3 linked regions of the Macaca mulatta genome follow. The protein of the gene in region 3 interacts with the protein of the main gene of each other region in a pairwise test. Links are inferred from orthologs where the notes say so. Each region holds a gene or a part of one and is shown on either strand. Other genes may lie near its edges. The genes, in order: NIF3L1, KCTD17 and DMC1.

Region 1 (4,324 bases), on a different chromosome or scaffold from region 3:
TATGCTGTTTTCTTTGGTTAGAATGCCTTTTCCTTGTTCTTCTTGTGATAAGTGAGCACCCCCTCTGAGAAGCCTTCTCTGACACTGTCCTGCTTCTGCCTCTTGTGGGTCCCTGTCACTTTGTCCTTGATCTCCAGTGTGCACTTCTGTTGGACAGTAATTGGCTCCTGGGCCTTACACTCTCTCCTTAAGGATACTACCTAATAGGTCCTGGCTAATTTTTATTGAAAGAATTACTTCACGTAGTTACTACTCAGGAATGTGACCAAACATGGCCCATTATACCTGCAAAGGATTTGAAGACATTTTAATGGGTTGCCAGTTTGTTTACCTCCTCCTTCTTAGGGTTAGGAGAGAATGAGTTAAAGAATTACTTTTCCCACTTCGAGGACCAGGCTCTAGACTCTTAGCCCTCTGGCCATTCCTTTGGCTACTTCCATGCTTCCCTTGCCTCCCACACCCATGCCTTGTTGTGTAGCACACTCTCTTACAAAGGCTGCTGCACTGAAAGCATTGTCACATCCCGAAGTACCAAGGAGCAGCATCTGAGAAAGCCTGATGGAACTGCTCTAAACCAATAAATTGATTAAAAAAAAAAAACATGTATGTGACTATTACCTGTTTTCCATTCTTCTGAAGATAAAAGATTTTTGTAAGTCCTTAAATTTCTACCAGATTAAAGTGAAATTTCAATATGAATATCTTACAGCATTGTGTCTGGCTATTTTAAAATTCATTTTAGCATTTTACTTAGAAGGAATTTCAGACCTATGCAAAAGTTGCAAGAATAGTACAATGAATTCCTATGTGCTCTTCACCTTGGTTACTAATGGTTATATTCTGCCATATTTGTACATTCTTTATGTACATATTATATATGTGTCTGTATACATTTGTGTGTGCATATATAGATATATAATATATAATATACAAGTTAAAATTTTTATATATATATATATATATATATAGATGTATTTCCCCCAGGACCATTTTAGAAATCGATTGCAGACATGACAATTTCTTTACCTCTCAATATTTCAGTGTATAGTCTTCTAAGAACAAAGACATTCTAAGTCTATAGAACAATTATCAAATGAGGGAATTTAATATTGTTAAAACATTTACTTGATATACAGTCCATATTCACATTTTTCCAGTTGATAAAAGTTTATAGTATTTCTTTTTCTGATCCATATCCAGCCCATGATCTCACATTGCATTTAGTTGTTGTTAGTCTCCTTCAGTCTGGAATAGTTCCTCAGCTTTGTCTTCATAACACTGACATTTTTAAAAGAGTATAGGCTCTTTGTTTTGTGCTTCTCGCTCAATTTGGGGTATCTATTTCCTCATAAATACTTTTTTAAAAACTAGTTTTTAAAAAAAGTGATAAAATATAATGATATGTTCATAAAATAAATTCAGGCAGTTCCAAAATGTTAAAATGTCCTTCCTATCTCGCTGTGGGGAGAAAAAGAAAATATTACCTGGCTAGCATTAGATGTCTCTGGTCTGTGAGGCATTGCTTTTGAGTGTAACTTCAGAGATGCAAAGCCCCTCCTAAAGGACCTCTGCTGAACTTCATCACGCTCCCTGTGAGTCTGAGGCCGTGTTCTCGTTGTATTAGGTTGTTAAGGGTAACACCCTGTAAGACCAGCAGATGGGGAGCCTGCTCCTTGCAAATGTAAGTTCTCTCATTTGTCATTTCATTCTCCATTTGCTTTTCCTTTCCCAAGCTGCCATCCTGGGCCAAGCTTTTCTTTCCGTTGGCTTCAGCAATTATTGCAGGGTCTTCACAGATTTCCCCCCTTTCATGCCTTCTCCGGCCAATGAGTTTGTCACAGTACAGGCAGCCAGACTTATCTTTCCTAAAACAAGGCTTCCAACTGGGTCATCTTAGTGTCTTTTTCTTGCTTTTTACTTTTACTATTATAGATTAAGATGTTTTAAAAAGTGCTCGAATAAAAATTATTCCTTATAATGAGATGACACTTACTAGAAGAGTGTGGGGAACTGAAAAATTCTGGAATTAAGAAAACTTATTTTTTACTTACAGATGTTTTCTTGTGGGAAAATTAGAGAAAAAACTCAATTTTTTTTCTAAGAACCTTTTTTTTCTTAAATTTGTATGCCCTTCTGTCTCTAAATACAGTTCAAAATTGTACTTTCTAAAGAACAAACCAAATTGTACACAGTGCAGTTTTGCTCTTAAATTACAAGTCATCAAATTCACAAACTGCATTTTTAAAAATTCAGAATATTAGGCTGGACACGGTGGCTCACACCTGTAATCCCAGCACTTTGGGAGGCCGAGGCGGGCAGATCACTTGAGCCCAGGAGTTCGAGACCAGCCTGGCCAACATGGCAAAACCCCGTCTCTACTAAAAATACAAAAATTAGCCAGGCTTGATGGTGGGTGCCTGTAATTCCAGCTACTCGAGAGGCTGAGGCAGGAGAATCACTTGAACCCAGGAGGCAGAGGTTGCAGTGAGCTGAGATTATGCTATTGCACTCCAGCCTGGGCAATAGGACAAAACTCCATCTAAAAAAATAAATACAAATATAAATAAATTAAAAATTCAGAATATTTGAGTTTTCCCCAAATCTTTTCACAACAGATGAGATTCCCTCCAGAGTTTCTAGGGATTTTGCTTAAGTCAAAGAAAAATACTTTGTTTTAATCTGGAAATAATCTTAAATTCATTTCATCCTTGTATATTAGACTAAGTTGACGACAGAAATACTAGTGCTTACAAAGCCTAAGTCTGCTGGGCAGTATACACAGAATGTCCTCCAGAGGTATTTATTACATAAGAGGCAGATTTTCTGAAGGCCTCATTTTACTTAGCAGTGGTCATTCTCTCTACGGTGGAAACACAGTAAAATGGGTGTTTACAGATCTGGTTCTGGCCAGATATGTTGGATTGGACGATTGCCTTGGGGTCTGCCAAGGAAAAAGAAGTTGGAATTCTCAATGGGATGGCTTTTATTTTTATTTTATTATATTTTCAAGACAGAGTCTTGCTCTGTCACCCAGGTTGAAGTGCAGTGGTGCAATCTCGGCTCACTGCAACCTCCAGCCCCCATACTGAAGCAATTCACCCGCCTCAGCCTCCTGAGTAGCTGGGATTACAGGCGCACGCCAGCACACCCAGCTAATTTTTGTGTTTTTAGTACAGATGGAGTTTCACCATGTTGGCTAGGCTGGTCTGGAACTCCTTAGCTCAGGTGACCCCCCTGCCTAGGCTTCCCAAAGTGCTGGGATTACAGGCGTGAACCACCGTGCCCAGACCTTTCTCTGTTTTTAAGTTGGAGGACATAAAAGAAAACTGTACAGTACTTTCTAGATTTATAACAGTTCTGCTGTATTACATTCACTTTATATAGAATATAAACTTGGTATTTCTGCTTTTGTGTTTCCTCATTCCACAGATTCCATATCTAGCATTTAAGAATTTGCTGTTTCCTTTTTGGTAGGTGAGATGTCCCATCATGATATTTTGGATGCTGCTTCCCAAGGAATAAATGTCATCCTCTGTGAACATAGCAACACTGAACGAGGCTTTCTTTCTGACCTTCGAGATATGCTGGGTTCTCACTTGGAGAATAAGATAAATATTATCCTATCAGAGACTGACAGGGACCCTCTTCAGGTGGTATAATTGCAGAAACATCAGGATAACACATTGTACAAATTAGTTGGATGCCAACTTGAATTTGTAACATGAGTCAGTGGGACTAGTGTGCTTCTAGAAGAGTGTCTTAGAGGGTATGATCATTTCCGGTTTGTTAATCTGATTCACCAAACATTCTTTTTTTTCCTTTTTTTTTTTTGAGATGGAGTCTCGCTCTGTCACCAGGCTGGAGTGCAGTGGCGCGATCTTGGTTCATTGCAACCTCTGCCTCCCAGGTTCAAGCAGTTCTTCTGCCTCAGCCTCCTGAGCAGCTGGGACTACAGGTGTGTGCCACCGCACCCAGCTAATTTTTGTATTTTTAGTAGAGACGGGGTTTCACCATGTTGGCCAGGATGGTCTGGATCTCTTGACCTCGTGATCCACCCGCCTCGGCCACCCGAAGTGCTGGGATTACAGGCGTGAGCCACCACGCCCTGCAGATTCACTAAATGTTCTATCGCTCATACAGTAAAACTGTAATGTAACTACCACATTAAATAACAAGTATTCATATAAAATCTAGGAAAGATTGAATAAAATCTGTTTACTTAACATTCTTTGGAAGCAGCTCAAGTGATTCTCTCCTTAGTTTAATTGTAGATGGGATGGGATGGATCCATTTGGGTATCTTTGCCCTTGCTTAGTTTAACATT
Region 2 (4,217 bases), about 1.5 Mb from region 3:
AATGCTCTGGGGTCACAACTATTGTAAGTTCCATTTGGCAAGGCAGAAAGCCAAGGCTCAGAGAGGAAGTTGCTCAGGACACACCTGGTGAATTTTAAGTAGCAGGATTCCAGTACACCTTTGATCCACTCCCTGCCAAGGAGAAAAGCTTTATGCAGAAACCAGGGCATTGAGTGGTAACAGGGAAACTTCTCCCAATACAGGGCCAGGATGCCCAGTGTTCAGGCTAGCTGTGTGTGACATTGGATCAGTGAGGGGAGCCTCTCCCACATAGGCCAGGACCAGGACTGAAACCAGTAAGGAGAGGAAGCTAAGGAAACAGCTTCCTTGTCAGCCTCTGTCCCTCCCTGGTCCCAGACCACATGGTGGGGTCCCTTTCCCCATCCTGAGGTCCACAGAATGACAGTCCCCCTCCAAGTTAACTGGGAAATAACTCAGAAAGCCACCCGCAGAACTAATCCCTCCTCCTGCTTGGGGAGGACTTGGAAAAACTGAGAACAGCCAAAAGCCAGAATGGAAACTCAGTTCTCCTGACTGGGATCCAGGGCCTGCTCTACTCTTCCTCCTTAGAAGTCCTTCCCAAGGATCCCTGACATTCCATGGTCGGGGAGCAGGAAAGAGGCCTTGGCGGGTACTCACTCACCAGCTATGTGAGTAGAGCGGTCACTTAGCTTCTGTGGCTTCATCTGTAAAATGGGTATATCCCAAAATACCAGACTCACAGGGCTGCTGAGAGCTTAAATGAATAACACACTTACGCAAAGTGTCTGGCATACAGGTGCTCAGCCAACCTCAGGTCCAGCTATGTCGTTCTCCAAGAACTTAGATGAAGGAAAGAACCCACTCCCACCCACCCCGCCCCCACCCCGATACACACAACGGGCAAATGAAAAAATATGACGAAACACATGCGGGTCAATGCTATGGGGATTCCTCGTCGGGGAAGTTTCTTCCCTTATCAGCAGTTGGATGACGCAGATGGCACAAAGGAAAAACAAAAACGCTCGGACCAATGGGAAGACTGCGATTTGGGGAAGCACTCATTCTTTTCCCAGAGTTCGGGAGTTCGACCTTCCCCATACACAGTGATTTAGCTTCACTAGCCCAGACTGCGGGCCTGCAGGGAAGGGCGAAGCGGGGCGGGACCGGGGGCGGGAGCTGCGCGAGGAGGGAGCAGCGCGGGGCGGGAGCAGCGCGGGGCGGGAGCAGCGCGGGGCGGGACCCTCCCCGCGGCCCACGCGGAGCCAGGAGGCGCGGACTACAGCTCCCGGCCTGCCCCGCGCGTGATTCCCTCCCGCCCCCCGCGCCCGGGAGGAGGATGCAGACGCCGCGGCCGGCGATGAGGATGGAGGCCGGGGAGGGAGCGCCGCCGGCGGGGGCGGGCGGCCGCGCCGCAGGCGGCTGGGGCAAGTGGGTGCGGCTCAACGTCGGGGGCACGGTGTTCCTGACCACCCGGCAGACGTTGTGCCGCGAGCAGAAGTCCTTCCTCAGCCGCCTGTGCCAGGGGGAAGAGCTGCAGTCGGACCGGGTGAGGCCCCCGGGGTGGGCGGCGAGCGGGCGGTGGGTCCTCTGCTGGCCCGACGCAGGGCTGTCGGGCCTGGCTCGCCCGCCAGGCTGGGGACCCGGCTGCGTTCATTTCCGAGGAACTGGAGGCGGGAAGAAGCGGCAGGAGGAGGGAAGGGGGAGGTGGGTCTGGTAGTGAGGGATGTGCCCATTGCCGTGGCAACGGGACACCGCAGGTCGCGGCCATTAGAAGCTCTCCAGCCGCCCTGGATCGGGGTCTCACCTTCTCCTTTGGGGCAGTGGACAGGGAGATACCTGGGGCCTTTCCTCCCTCCCAAAGGGGACTCCTGCTCTGGGGAAGGAGTCGACGAGGCTACTTCTCCTGCCCTTTGGGATGTGGGTGGCGGAGGGGTGCAGGGAGCTAGCTGGATGGAGGAGCCCTGGGGCGCCTTTTGAGCGGGCTGAATCTAGAAGGAGCGCTGGCCCAGCGGGCACTGTTTCTGAGCACCCACCCTGACTCTGCTGCACGCTGCCTGCTGCGACCTTGGGTCGGACCCTTCCCTGCACTGCGCTCAGCCTCCTTCCTCATCTGTAACACGAAGGGCTGGTCTGAAGATGACCTCTAAGGTCTCCTGTCCCCCATCCGTGACCTTCCGATGCTGTGGCCTTTGGCAAGTCGCCTCGCCTCTCAATGTCTCCCATCTCTCTGTAGAGTCGCATGGAAGCCCACTCTGCCTCCCTGCCTGCCTGAATGTCCAGTGAGATAGTGGCTTCTTTGGAAACTTGTAAACATTCCCTGAAAGCCTGGGGACCTGGGGGCGACAGTGGGGCTGGCATCAGGGGACAGCTTCTAAGAGGGACATTCTCTGAGCCCTGTGCTGGCCCAGTTGCCACTCAGACCTCCTGTCACCAGATGCTCACAGCGACCCCTGATGATGAGGAGAGGAGTGAGGCTCAAAGAGGCCAAATCATTAGCCTAAGGTCACACATTCAGGAAAAGTCAGAAGCAGGGTTTGAACTCAGGTCCACCTGACCCCAGTGCCTTTTTGCTCCTTTGTGCCTGCTCCATCCAGGGAAGAGCTCTCCCTGGACTCGCTTCCCTCCCTGTGCATGTGTGGGGTTGGCCTGGGAGAGGCCTCACTCTTCGCTCACGGAGCATCCCTCACCTCCATAGGATGAGACCGGGGCCTACCTCATTGACCGTGACCCCACCTACTTCGGGCCCATCCTGAACTTCCTCCGGCATGGCAAGCTGGTGCTGGACAAGGACATGGCTGAGGAGGGTGAGTTGGTTCAGGGGACTGGCCTGGGGCCCACATCCTAGCCCGGCCCTCTGCAGCCTGCCAGGGCCCTCTGTGGAGGCCCCAAGCCATTTGGACAACCAGGATGGCCGTCTGCCTGCTTCGTTGTTTCCTGCCTCTTCCCATCCGGACGAGTCTGATTCCCAAGCATCTGCCTGTGCCCAGCCTGGGGCTCTGCCAAGCGGACGGGCTCAAGCTTTCCCAGGGTGCTGTCAGGGAGGTGACAAAGACACACGCGCAGGGGATAGAGGAAGTCAGCAATGCCCTGTGGCCTCTGCGGTGGGCTGTGATGCCCTTTCTCTCTGGCCTCCTAGGAAGCCAGATGTGGACCGTCACATCCGGAGGCTGGGGTGACAGGAATTTGGTGTTGACAGGCATGGGGAGAGCGCTCTCTCTCTCTTTCTCTGGCTGATCCAGTATCTCCAATTCTGCCTGGTGAGGGCTTGTAAGTGGGTGGAGCGGGTGACTGTTCACTAAGTCTGGCAGCCTGTGCGGCACAGTGCTGGTTGTGGGTGGAGGCAGGGGAGGGGGGAGTCTGCTTCCCAGTGGGGCTTTGGTTATCCCCAGGCCTAGGTGGCAGGGGCCCTGGATATGCCCATATCTGGGCCTAACAAACAGTGGGGAAGCCGTGTCTGGAAGAACGACCTGTTAGCAGAGCCCCAGCCAGGGGCAAGGACTAGAGTCAATGCCAAGTTAACTCTTCTTTGGGACACAGGGTGTGGCTCTGGGTCAGCTGATCCAGCCAGACCAGCTTGAACATGTCACTTCTCCTCGCTGCGTCTCCACTGGTATCTGTTAAATGGGGGCGGTGATCTGCCTCCTGGAGGGAGATGTCATGAATCCTGTGCACAGACAGCACCTGCATCTGTGCATGCCTTCCTGCTCTGGGCCATGGTCTGCCCTCCCTGAGCCCTATGGGACACAGTGGTCTGGAGGCCCAGCAACTCTCTAGCAGGTCAGGGCCGCAACACCAGAGTCCACTGTGGGTACCTGGCCCTGCAGAACCCCACAGCTTCCCTGTTAATCCCTGTGGGAGCACAGATACCATGGGAGTGGCCTAGGCTCAGGAGCAGGCCCCGCCGGGAAGGAAGTAAACACCCAAGCTGCGTCACAGCCAGCACCTGTTTACACGCCCTGCGTTCTCAAAGCCCTGCTATTCCCACACCTGCAGACAGGCCTGTCCGGGACTAGAGGATCAGACAGGGCTATCCGGGGGCTAGGGGATCACGCAGGCCTGTCCGGGGGCTAGGGGATCACGCGGGCCTGTCCGGGGGCTAGGGGATCACGCGGGCCTGTCCGGGGGCTAGGGGATCACGCGGGCCTGTCCGGGGGCTAGGGGATCACGCGGGCCTGTCCGGGGGCTAGGGGATCACGCGGGCCTGTCCGGGGGCTACGGGATCACGCGGGCCTGTC
Region 3 (4,314 bases):
TGAATTTGTCATTACCCAGCTCATTTTAGTTTCTTTAAGTGTACTGCACACAACCTTCAAATATTATGAACATTTCTCTCTCCCAGCTGTCACTACACCAAACTACATATGTTATATTTCCCTAAATCATCTTGCTGTGCTCTTTGCAGCTCTTCTGTAGACTGTTGATGTCTTCACCTAACGAGTTGCTCAAAAGTTCCCATAATTATTTAGGTGAGGCCTCAGAGTGAAAGCCTTTCATCACTATCCAGTTCCTTCCCCAAATGGGCATTCATTTCCATATAACAGGGACGGCTATGTTTGGGCGAAAATAACAGATTTGGAAGCACAATGGCAGTTATTTGTTGGATCTTGAAACGATCCACCTGTTGGGGGCGGGGGAGCGTCCTACACAAAAATGCCAACTGCTATTGTGGGAATGTTTTGCTATTTATTCCAGCAAAATGATTCAGACAGAAAAAACAAAAAAGGATCGCCCTGTACTAGGTCTTGAACCCAAAGAACTGTTTGCACAGAGATTCATCCAAGATACATCACAGCCTCCACCTCGGCAGCTGCTCTCTCAAATGTTTCCTGACTCTCCTCAAGTCAGTCTCCGCGTGAGGGGAGGAGGAGGACGCTGCCAGCGATGGCGCTGCTGGCACGAAGGCTGGCCTGCGACTTCTATTTAAAAGCCGAACCAAAATATACTTGGCGTCTGTGGTCTATTTAAAACTTCAAGTTAAGACAGAGAAAAAAATTACTCTCCATCCTGAATGGGCCTTGGGTATCTCAATCACAGACAAGAGTGGCAAATGGTGAGAGTCAGAAAGTGGGAAATTAGGAACGCTGAGGGAGCACGGCCAAACTCTGAAGCCAGGCATGAAAACCCGGAGGCGAAAGAGAAGTCACGGGCAGCGGCGGCGGGGGGAAAGGGGCCCGGATTCGACCTTCTAACCCAAGGCTCCATCTGCGACCCTCGCGACCAAGACCTATTGCCAACGTCAGCCACCTCTGCTCAGCGCCCCTCCCCCGATTCAAGGCGTCCTCCTCAGAACCCTTGCCTCAGGGTCCTCTCCCGGACTTTAGCGAGGTGCTCAGTTCGAGGGACGCCCCAGCTCAACGGTCTCCTCCCTTCAAGGCCCCGCTCCTCAGGGCGCTCCCTCCACAGCGCCCCTCCCTCACTCCCTCACCTCAGCGCGCCACGCGCCGGAGGCTCCTCTTGGTTTCCCGCCCCTCAGTCCTCGCCCCGCCCCCTCGCCCTGCGCCCTGCCCCGACTCTCCCCTCGCTACGCCCCCTGCAGGCCACGCCCTCTGGTTCCCCCAACTGTGAGCCCGCTCTTCCCCCGCCCCTCCTTCTTCGCCCCGCCCCCATAGCTCCCCTCCCCGCGTCGCCCCCTGTGGGCCCGCCCGCTCCCCGCCCTTCCACCCTCACCTCGCCTCCTCAGGCTGCGCCCCGCCCCGGCCCCTTGGTCCTCGCCCCGCCTTCCTCATTTGGCGCCAAATCCTGTGGTCAACGGCGCGCGGGTTTCCAGGCTCCGCGTTCTGGGCCCGAGTTAGAATCCTGTCAGCTGAGGACTGGAAAGGTCGGGCGGGGGCAGAGGGGCTTCACCTTGAAAATCTCGGGGAGACTGTGGGTACGAGGGGGGTAAGTGGCATAAACGGACAGCGTGCGAAGACTGAGCGGACGCTCGTTTTGAGAAGGCGCGCTTCCCTTTCTCGCTCTTTTTTTTGGGGTTCCCGGGCTAGCGACTCTGAGCGTTCCGCTCCGACCCCTGGGGAGGAATTTTAGTGACCTTGAGGGATTTCCAACCTCCTTATTTTCAATCTAATCGGACCTAAGTCTAGGAGAGCCCGCCTCATCCTCCTGACCAGGGAATCCCCTGTCAGGAAAATGTCCGGCGGCCGCACGGGGTCTGCCCAGGCCTCCTGTTGAGGGAGGCGTCGAGGGCGACCCGACCGCGCTGCTGCCCCCACCAGAGGGGACAGCTGGGTGGTCTTAAACCGGGGGATTGGGGAGCCCTGCCTTCAAGCCAACCGTTCAGTCCATCGACGGCTCTTTGAGAGATGGGGGACAATCTTTTCATTTCATCACGGGGAGAAGAAATGGATGTTTTTTTCTTCGATGGGGGCAGTAAATGTGGAATTGGGGTACTCATAGCTAGCCATCTGAAGGACAGTGTCCCCGAAGATCCCATCCGAACGGTCTCGGTTGCCTTCCATCCTTTGCGGTTTGAGGTGCTGGGTGGTAGGACCCTGCTCCTGCCTTCGTATTAATAGTTCGTTCCCTTTGTTCTAAGGTCCAACCCCTGACTTTGGTATCAAATGAGGAAATGGAATCGACCAAGAAAAATGATTATTTGTACCGCATTTTATTGTAATAAACACAATCACGCCTTGTGGATTCCTGAGATTTCTCTTTGGGTCTACAATGTTAAAAACTTTAACTGCTTATCAGCCTTACTATAATATTATGATCCACCAATTTTTTTTTTTTTTTTTTTTTTTTTTTTTTTTTTTTGAGACTGAGCCTCTTACTGTCGCCCAGGCTGGAGTGCAGTGGCGCAATCTCGGCTCACCGCAACCTCCGCCTCCCAGGTTCAAGCGATTCTCCTGCCTCAGCCTCCCAAGTAGGTGGGATTACAGGCGCCCACCACCATGCCCGGCTAATTTTTTTTGTATTTTTAGTAGAGACGGGGTTTGGCCAGGCTGGTCTCGAACTCCTGACCTTGTGATCTGCCCTTCTTGGCCTTCCAAAGTGCTGGGATTACAGGCAGTGAGCCGCCGCGCCCGGCCCACCATATTTTTAAATCTTAAAAAAAATCATGAAACTAGTAAATACTGTGAAAGAAAGTATAGCTAATGTTCTATGAAACAAAAAGGTAGGTGTTACAGGAGTACCCATTCATAATCAGCAGACAGGAAGGCATTCATCATAGATGAGAAAAATAAAATCCATTTATTGAGGACAAAGTTGGAGGTGCCAGGGAGGACACAAGGAAGAATGATATATTGTCAAGGTTCTTAGAGTTTTGTTGTTAAACATAAACAAGAAAGATTAAAAGCAATAAGCAATTTTAAATAACATTTCTTTTTTTTTTTTTTTTGAGACGGAGTCTCGCTCTGTCGCCCAGGCTGGAGTGCAGTGGCCGGATCTCAGCTCACTGCAAGCTCCGCCTCCCGGGTTTACGCCATTCTCCTGCCTCAGCCTCCCGAGTAGCTGGGACTACAGGCGCCCGCCACCTCGCCCGGCTAGTTTTTTTGTATTTTTAGTAGAGACGGGGTTTCACCATGTTAGCCAGGATGGTCTCGATCTCCTGACCTTGTGATCCGCCCGTCTCGGCCTCCCAAAGTGCTGGGATTACAGGCTTGAGCCACCGCGCCCGGCCTTAAATAACATTTCAAGGCAGTAATAAAGTCATGATTAGCTGTGCAATGGAAACCAGATGATAAGTGATCACTATTGGGGAAAGAGAAGAAACTAATCACCCCCCAATTTGCCCCTCAGGCACCTGTGTGCATGTGGGGACACGCACACACACACATGCACACACAAACACACACACAAGAAATAATGCCACATGCCTCACAGAAAGAAGATAGACTGGCCTAGTCTTTCCAAGTTAAATGCTTCTCTTATTGTCCTTCTAGTCCTTGGTGACTTTGAAATGAAATCAGAGGCCCCTGGACAAAGGACTACTTCTTACATAATATTTCTTTTTTTCCCAGAAGTGATTATTTTTCTTTTGCTCACCTTTCAACATGAAGGAGGATCAAGTTGTGGCGGAAGAACCAGGATTCCAAGATGAAGAGGTATGACTAGAATGTTGAAAGATACATAGATATTCGGTCATTCCACAAAAATCAAGTTCCTTCTCTGTTAGCTACTATTTTTAGAAACTGAAAGTAGAAATAACACATAGTTATATATTGCAAATATGCAACAACTTGTTTGGCAAGGATGCTAAGATTAGCTACTTAGCAACTGGTATGAAAGTATTTTAATAACTTAACAGCTGGTATGGCCATACTGATACCTGTATACACTGGTACCGAATAGCAGCCTGGTCCTAGAGGAAGGAGTTTAGGATCTGGAGGGGAAGAGGGTTGAGAAAACATATTTAAAATAGGTCAAATGTTGTTCCAGTCCTTTGGGTAAAGGTTTCAAAATTTTAGGGAGGACATGACAAAGGTAACTGGTTTCCCAGCCCTTTCAATGTTGGTGCTTCTAAGTATGTGTTTGAAAAACAGTATTGATCTTTCCTCAATCTCTAGAGAAGTGGAATTTGAGGCATTTTGGAGTGACTCATAGTATTGAATTACCTCTTTAAAAGA

Evidence for each region.
Region 1: the proteins of DMC1 (region 3) and NIF3L1 interact in binary tests that used the Homo sapiens proteins (3 or more experiments, as listed by UniProt). The two-hybrid records come from large-scale screens. The link is inferred for Macaca mulatta from reciprocal best matches to the Homo sapiens genes DMC1 and NIF3L1.
Region 2: the proteins of DMC1 (region 3) and KCTD17 interact in binary tests that used the Homo sapiens proteins (3 or more experiments, as listed by UniProt). The two-hybrid records come from large-scale screens. The link is inferred for Macaca mulatta from reciprocal best matches to the Homo sapiens genes DMC1 and KCTD17.

What each region holds. Positions count from the first base shown.
Region 1 is NC_133417.1:106,005,743-106,010,066, forward strand, and holds the end of NIF3L1 (NIF3-like protein 1), read left to right. Parts: intron 1-1,624; coding exon of another isoform or gene 1,625-1,632; exon of another isoform or gene 1,633-1,681; intron 1,682-3,474; coding exon 3,475-3,659; 3' UTR 3,660-3,798; downstream 3,799-4,324. UniProt on the Homo sapiens protein: May function as a transcriptional corepressor through its interaction with COPS2, negatively regulating the expression of genes involved in neuronal differentiation.
Region 2 is NC_133415.1:14,498,450-14,502,666, reverse strand, and holds the start of KCTD17 (BTB/POZ domain-containing protein KCTD17), read left to right. Parts: upstream 1-1,314; 5' UTR 1,315-1,318; coding exon 1,319-1,528; intron 1,529-2,677; coding exon 2,678-2,786; intron 2,787-4,217. UniProt on the Homo sapiens protein: Substrate-adapter for CUL3-RING ubiquitin ligase complexes which mediates the ubiquitination and subsequent proteasomal degradation of TCHP, a protein involved in ciliogenesis down-regulation.
Region 3 is NC_133415.1:12,961,433-12,965,746, forward strand, and holds the start of DMC1 (meiotic recombination protein DMC1/LIM15 homolog), read left to right. Parts: upstream 1-1,473; 5' UTR 1,474-1,627; intron 1,628-3,708; 5' UTR 3,709-3,741; coding exon 3,742-3,792; intron 3,793-4,314. UniProt on the Homo sapiens protein: Participates in meiotic recombination, specifically in homologous strand assimilation, which is required for the resolution of meiotic double-strand breaks.